2 linked regions of the Canis lupus familiaris genome follow. The main gene of each other region encodes a partner of the protein of the gene in region 2 in a complex. Links are inferred from orthologs where the notes say so. Each region holds a gene or a part of one and is shown on either strand. Other genes may lie near its edges.

The links. The genes of interacting proteins can lie anywhere in the genome.
Region 1: the proteins of BBS4 (region 2) and BBIP1 are in contact, whole or in part, in a cryo-EM structure (PDB 6VBV), measured with the Bos taurus proteins. The link is inferred for Canis lupus familiaris from reciprocal best matches to the Homo sapiens genes BBS4 and BBIP1. Residues at the interface, in NP_001069424.1 of Bos taurus: Leu210, Leu213, Tyr236, Leu240, Ala241, Ser244, Gln247, Thr248, Ser269, Pro271, Asn274, Asn275, Met278, Phe281, Gly282, Lys284, Tyr298, Leu299, Pro301, Leu302, Asp303, Trp304, Lys305, Ile306, Tyr308, Asn309, Leu312, Leu315, Thr316, Gln318; in XP_003587939.1 of Bos taurus: Met7, Phe8, Arg9, Glu10, Val11, Leu12, Pro13, Lys14, Gln15, Gly16, Gln17, Leu18, Tyr19, Val20, Glu21, Asp22, Leu28, Lys30, Pro31.

The regions. Positions count from the first base shown.
Region 1 is NC_049249.1:22,464,449-22,468,553, reverse strand, and holds the start of BBIP1 (BBSome-interacting protein 1), read left to right. Parts: upstream 1-1,305; 5' UTR 1,306-1,644; intron 1,645-1,746; exon of another isoform or gene 1,747-1,950; intron 1,951-2,087; exon of another isoform or gene 2,088-2,357; intron 2,358-2,460; exon of another isoform or gene 2,461-2,472; 5' UTR 2,473-2,557; intron 2,558-4,105.
Region 2 is NC_049251.1:36,541,619-36,545,118, forward strand, and holds part of BBS4 (Bardet-Biedl syndrome 4 protein), read left to right. Parts: intron 1-1,984; coding exon 1,985-2,039; intron 2,040-3,158; coding exon 3,159-3,227; intron 3,228-3,500.

The DNA.
Region 1 (4,105 bases), on a different chromosome or scaffold from region 2:
CCAAGTGTTAAGGGCTGAAAGCCTGAAAACACACACACACACACACACACACACACACACACACAAAAGCATCTTCTTTCCAACTCCCCGAATCGGCATTCCTTCCACCTGTTTGTAAATCCATACTAACACAATAACACATAAGCTCTGCTGATTGAAAAACGGGGGAGGGGGGGCAATTAAGGGTTTGAAGTCCTCCTCCTTCCACCCAGGCTTGGGGCGGGGGAGGGGGATGGTACACAACAATGGATACTGAGGGGCTGGGGGGAAATCGTCGGTCCTTGAGGCTCCAGCGCGGGGGGGGGGGGGGGGGGTAGAGTACTTTTCCTCTATTCCGAAGAGCTGCCGCGGAAGGAGGCTGGCACCAGGCAAGTCCGCCGGGGCCGGAGGGCAGGCTCTCCGGGCGGCACAGCCTAAGCCGCCTCGCCGCTCTTCTCTTCCCCGGGAGGCGACGAGGGGAGACAGCGACGGGCTCCGGGCTCCGGGCAAGGGGCGGGGGAAGGCGCGACCCCGCACCGCCAGCGCCGCGCCAAGGCCCCCGCCGAGCCTCGCCCGCCTCCGCGACGCCCACGGGGCGCCCCGCAGCCCGGGCCAGGTGCCCCCGGGGGCGGAGCGGGCAGGGCCGTGCTCCGGGCGCCCCCGGCCCGCGCGCCGCCCCGCCGCCCGCCGCCGCCGCAGGCCCGGCCCCGGCCGCTGTCAGCGCCGCCCCGCTCACCGCCGGCGCCGGGCTGCGGGCCCCGCACGAGCGCCGGCTCCGAGGGCCCAGCCCTCCCCGCGCCCGCGCCCGCGCCCGCGCCCGCACCCGGGAGAGCGGCGGCGGCGGCGGCGGCGGCGGCGGCGCCTCCCCGGGCCCCAGCCCCTCGGGCCTCGCCCGGCCCCGCCGGCTCCTGCCCCTCAGGGCGCGCGGGGCCTCCCCCTACCGACAGCCGGCCGGACCGCCCGACGGGCAGGAAAGAAGGCAGGAAGAGCCGACCGACAAACACCCTCCCGCCTCAGCGGCCCCGCGTTACCGTCGGGAGCCCCAACTCCGCCATCCTCCTCGCTCGCCCTCCTTCCTCCTCCTCCTCAGAAGCGACGCTGCCCAACCGCCGCCCCCCGCCCGCCCCTCCCCCACTCGCCCCGCCCCGCCCCGCCCGCGCCTCCACACACTCTCGCTCCCACCGCCCCGCCCCACCCCTCCGGCGCAGGCCAGTCACTCGCTGGCGAAGAAAAGCAGGCGGAGCCAGGCGTGCCGACGCCGCCCAATCAGAGCGGGGCGCTGGCGCCAACGCCGCTGTCCAATCACAGCGAGGCACTGGCGCCAGCTTCCCTCGCCCCGCCTTTTTCCTCTCCTCAGCTGCTCTACGCCCTCTCTCCCGCCCACTGGGCGCCGCCGGCCGGCCGAGCCACCGAGGGAGCCTCCAGCAGGGTAGAGGGACGACTCCCAATCGGAAGTTACTGTTGAAGCTAAGGCAGCCATGACGGATAATGGCACGGAGTTTCCTGGCCTCCCGTCTCCAGTGTGACGTAGTTTTCCCTTCGCCCAAAAAAAAAAAAATAAATAAATAAAACTCGCCGTTGCCCTGGGCAACAGTCGAGCCGTCTGGGAAGAGAGAAATCTGCAAGTAGGCCCGAAAAAGGACTAACGGTGACCAGACATCCCAGGTCAGACAACTTAATTCCTATTCTGAACTACCTGCCCGGGCTGGGGGAGAGGAAGGCGCAGGCTTCCTGCCCCTTATTGTGCTGGGACGTCTGGTCACTTACCCAGCTGGACAGGAGGTCAGGGTGCCGAAAGTCCCTGTCCTGCCCGGAAGCTGCATTTGGCACTTCTGAATGGGGTCATGGCGGAGGGGTGGGAAGAGCCAGAGCCCCCCCGCCCCGGCGCCCCGGGGATCGCAGAGTGGGGTGACGGTGCGTCGGCGCTGTCCCGCGAGGCGGCCCGCGGGAGACGGAGAGCCGAGGAGGGGCGCCGAGCTCCCAGCCGCTTCCGCCGGAGGAGGGTTTCTTTCCGGGAGGGCCCGGCGGCGGCCGCCCCACCCCCGCCCCCGCCCCCGCCCCCGCCCCCCGAGGTTCCCGGAGGGGCTCGGGCGCGCGCCGCGGGGCAGAGCGCGGGGCAGAGCGCGGGGCTCCCGGGGGCCGGGGCTCCCGACCGCGCCGCCTCCCCCGCCCCGACCTTGGGAGGACGGCGGGTGCTGGAGCTCCGGGAAATCGTTTTGCGTCGCCACCGAGGAAGGAAGGGGGGGGGTCCGCCACCGCCGCGGCAACCCCTCCGAGTCTTTATTTTCCCGCCTCCCGTCTGCACGCTCCGAGTGTCGTTCCTCTGGTTTCCCCTCCTCCGGGCGCCTGTAAGGCGATGACTGCAGTTCTGGGCGAAGGTATACGGTCCTGCTCCCCCACGGCCACGCTTCACTAGACAACGTGAGGCTTGTGAATGTGCTTAGAAATGCCGTCGTGCTTTTCACACGTTCTGTCGTGCAGTTTCTTCCGTAGGCCTGAGTCGAGGACTGTAAGTCATCCTGGTCATACCGGGTCGGGCGCCTACAGTTGCCGGGGAGAAGACCGGGAGAACTTGCAGGTAAATGGAAAATTGTATTTGCCCAGCCAGCCAACAAGGGTGCAGACCTGCCTTTTCTCCTTTCTGCTTCCCATACTACCCATGCCTTAGCCAAAAGGAACTAACTACTCTTGTTTCTTCCAAAATGAATCATTGAAGCACTAACCTTTGGTGACTGTTTCCATGCCCCACTCATCCTTGGAGATGTGTTTCCAGATTGTCTCCAGCAGGAAGTAATTTCCCCTGTGCTTACCTAGCACTTTTTATGCTTCTTTTAGGACAACCACTATTTTATATAACAGCTGCTTATGTTTTTAGCTTTACTGCTGTGTTTACATCTGAATGGAATGATTTTGTCTTATCATCTTTATCCTGCACATGATACTGTTTTGGTAAATACTACTAAAAAAGATTGTATATATTTGGTGTCTGCCGGGTGCCTAAGACACTGCCAGCTTCAGTCGATCAAATGCAGCGTTGCTCTTGTTACTCAACCTTTTCTTAGATTTCCCCTCTGAAGTCTTTCCAACATGATTTCTTCCCTCAATTAAAAAAAATTATGCATAAAAAAAGTCAAAAGAATGTAATAAACATTAGAGAGAGGCAGAGGGAGAGCCTGATGCAGGACTCAATCCCAGAACCCCAGGATCACAACCTGAGCCAAAGGCAGACGCTCAACCACTGAAACACTCAGGTGCCCCACGTTTTGCCATATTTATTTCATCCTTATTTTCATGCTTTTTTCGTTGTCATTAAATTATTTGGAAATAGGTTACAGACACCTATTGTTAAGCAGACATTTCTAAGATTTCCAAAATGTACTCCCTAAGAATTATAAAGTTCTGCAAAACATGTTATCATTATCACAACTGAAGAAGTTAATAGCTTCTGCAACAAAATTCAGGATTCTGTCAAGGTTTATGTATTGTATATGGGTGTTGTAACTCTAGCCTTAATCTAGAGCAACTCCCTTATCTTTTTTTCCCCTGTAACATTGTCATTTTAAAAAGTTCAAGCAAAGGTGTTTTTGAATGTCTTTTTTCTTATTTCTTGTAAGTCAGAAGTTTATCTAGAGGCTTGATTAAATTCCGCTTATTTTGCAAGAATACTTTGCAGTATTCATACTTTGCCAATCATGATTAAGCCTTCTCAAATAACTGTATCTACCCATGTCATATGTTGCTAGTTAAATCCGTCCCACAGAAAAAAATAAAATAAATAAATAAATAAATAAATAAATAAATAAATCCATCCCCCTTCTCTGCACACACTACCTCCTGTGGTATCCTACAAAGAAGGGTTTAGTGTTTAATCTTCCTGTCTATGAAGAGTAAGTGCTAGCGTCCTGGACTGTCTGCCTATAGTCAAGTGTTGCTGCTACTTTGCCGACACTTGGAGCTGATGCGATATGATCTGCAGCAGTGTACTGATGTCAGCACAGTTTCATGAGTTTCAACTCCTGGCACCCTGAGGATTGTTGATGAAAGATGTGTGGGCCCTGCAATTCAAATACAGATGAATCTTGATGTTATCAAAGCAGATACCAAGGCAACTGCTGGCCATCTGGTA
Region 2 (3,500 bases):
CTTTGATAATGGAACTGACTGGCTTTCCCAGGATGGCGTTCCATGTTTCTTCTCTAGGGACACATACTATCTTATCTTTTTAATATAGGGTCTTGTTTGTTTTAAGTGGAATAGCTATAGCAAGATGTCTCGTTGGTTGTGTCACTTAACAGGATGTTTGGCCACAGAGTGTACTGTTCGTGATAATTAGTCTCTGAACTAAACTTAGATTTCTCCCAGTCACCTTTGTCTCCTACCATGGTAGTCACTTTTCTGGTTCTACCATCCACAACACTTCTTTCTGAATTTTCTTCAACCACATTTTGTGTCTAAAAAGACATAAAATTCCCTTGGCTTGGGGCACCTGGGTAGCTCAGTAGTTACCTTGTGATTTTGGCTGAGGTTGTGATCTCAGGGTTGTGAGATCGAGCCCTGTGTCAGGCTCCCCATTTGAGAGGAGTCTGCTTCAGAGTTTCTCTCTCTCCCTCTGCCCTTCCCCCTTTTCTTTCTCTCCCTGCCCCAAAATAAATAAATCTTAAAAAACAAACAAAAAACCCCTTGATTTGTTAAGTTACAAAAGACTCTTGTCACCAAGAGGCTAAGTTTACAGGGACAAGTAGGAAGGAGCCCATGTAGACTATTGTAAGCTTCTGTGGGGCTGGGTGGGAGCCTGATCCCTGACTTCTGTCTTCTAAAGCAGGCTCTTTGAGATTAGCTCACAGAAATCTAGAGGGTGACATTCTTCCAGGGGCTCGTCAAGGATGTAAGTCAGTAAAATTCCCAAGGGAAAAAGGGGACAGTGAGCATCTGGAACCTCACTGAGAATGGAGACCACTGCTTAGGACCCAGCTCTGGAGATGGTAGCCATGTTTTGGTGAGAGGGTGAGGGGGATGCCACCAGAACCAGCGAAGTTACAGAATTGGTTTGTGGGTGGGAGGCGATCCAAGTGGATATAGGATTACGGCAGAAAGTGAAGGGCAGATACTCAGTGGAATGGAGTAAGCTCCGTTTGGCATCTGGGCTTCCTCTGGCTGGGGCGCTGGCCTCTCTGGCGCTGCTCTCTCCATAGGTAACCAGTGCCCCTCATTCCTTAGAAGCAGGAGACGCTGTTCTTTGCATTTTGGCATTTTCACTGTTGAAACTGCTGATGATCCTACAGACAGAACAGCTCAGCTCAGTGTTGCTTAGATTTTTGTGACAAAGGCAAGTATCTGTGAGGGGTTGGGAAAGCAAAGAATCTATTAAGTCAGCGTTTATTCCCCAAAGCCAATGGTTAATTTTTTCCTCAAGCTGGTATGTGGCTTCCTTCTTTTTTAGTTTGGCTACTTAGTATGGCTTTTTGCTTAATATGGAGAGCAGAGCCTTAGGACCCCTGGGATCCTAAACCACGTAGAAAACTGCGGGCTCGCATTGTCAGTACCGGGAGACCAGAAAAACCACCAACCAACCAACCAACCAACCAAGCTGCGAGCGGGAACTGGCTACAACTGTGTGTTTTAGGCTGACTTGATTTATGGAGCATTGGACGTTAGTTACATCAGTAATCAGGACAGTCACACAGAATATTCCATAGGTGATTCTTAGGACTTAGGCCTTAAGGAACAGTCCTGATAAAGGAGTCTGGATTCTATTTTTTATTTTTTTAAAGATTGATTGATTTATTCATGAGAGACACACACAGAGGGAGAAGCAGGCTCCATGCGGGGAGCCCGATGCAGGACTCGGTCCCCGGACTCCAGGATCAGGCCCTGGGCCAAAGGCAGACGCTCAAACACTGAACCACCCAGGCGTCCCATTTCTTTCTTGCTGAGCAACTCATCCTGTAGCCAGGGCTGAGATGACCTGCTTTTGAAGGAAATTCCCAAATCCCCTGCAGGACTTTTCACAGGGAGTAGGAGGCACACGTGTCTGCCAGGTGCCGCCTGCGGGCACGTCACGGCCAGGTCTTGGCATCTCTCAGTCTCGCTTCCCTCTGAGCACTCCGCATTGACCTCTGTGTTGCAGGTTCTCGCCAGAAAACACGGAACTTCTTACGACTTTGGGACTACTGTACTTACAGGTAAGGAGGGAACCTTGACTCATTCATGCCCCAATGTTAGAAATGGTTTTGGGTTTGTGTGGATTGTGGCTTCCCTGCGATTTGATTGGACTGTAACACAACACATCTTACTCGAGCCTGTGAAGCGCAGGAACCTTCCTCTCCGCATCTGATATTCTCTGTCAGGACTGAATTCCCTGCATTAAATCAGAAGCAAACCAGTCAGTTTGAGGCTACTGCAGCTCTGATTCTTACCCACTTAAGGAAAAAGCATATAGGGATCCCTGGGTGGCGCAGCGGTTTGGCGCCTGCCTTTGGCCCAGGGCGCGGTCCTGGAGACCCGGGATCGAATCCCACATCGGGCTCCCGGTGCATGGAGCCTGCTTCTCCCTCTGCCTGTGTCTCTGCCCCTCTCTCTCTCACTGTGTGCCTATCATAAATAAATAAATAAATAAAAAATTAAAAAAAAAAATTTAAAAAAAAAAAAGGAAAAAGCATATATGAGAAATAACGGGGGTGGGGAGGGACCTTATGTCGTGGTGGGAGAAGCCTTGAGCCCCAGTGGGGCTTTGGGGCAGAGGCGGTTTCTGTTGCTCCTTCTTCCCAGCCAGGTCTCTGTCTGTCTGGAACAAGGAGTCTCCCTCCCCTCCACGTTTTCCTGCATGTGAATGGCATTCTTTTAGTGCCTGCAGTTCAGTTGTACCAGCCTGCGCCCGCCATATCCCTGTGCCCTCCCCACCCTGCCCCTACCGGCTCCTCGGGGTCCCTCCTAGCTGACCCTGCAGCTCTGCCTCCAGGGCGGCCTTTCTGTCTGTTTTGTTTTTCTGGGCCTTCCTGGGCTTTGGCTTGGATGTTGGCCCCAGGGAAATGAGGCTAAGCAGCCCATTTTCTGCCAAGGAGGCATTAGTGTGGAACAGCAGAGCGTGCCAGAGGTGGTTTCTGGCAAACAGATACTTTGACCTTCAGGGGAAATCAACAAACATGGGGATTTTTAGTTTTCTTTTTTTTATCTGGTATCTGTAGCTTTTTTTATCATGACAACTGGAAAGCCCAGGCATTTCAGTTCAGGGTGTGGTTGGCCAGACTCCTTAACTGCTCTCTCTCCACTGATCTAATTCTCTGGTTTGCTTTTTCTCCAAGCTCGGCATTTACCAGAAGGCATTTGAACACCTTGGAAATGCGCTGACTTACGACCCTACCAACTACAAGGTATCATGGGCTGTCAAACCCCAGGGCCTTCAAATAGGTGTTCCTGCTGTTGCCAGAGGTGATCTGGCCCTAGAAAGCATTTTGGATACCCGAGAAATCACCTTTCTCTTAGGAAAAGTATAAATAGACACGGCCCTTAGTGTTAGCGCTCTGCTTATTTTCTACAAGCACATGTTTGCTGTCACAGGCCTGTCACGCAGTGAAGTTGTCGCACTGGTGAAGGTCCGTGTGTTACTCAGGAAGTGAACAAAGCTTCCACAGCTACTGTCCGAG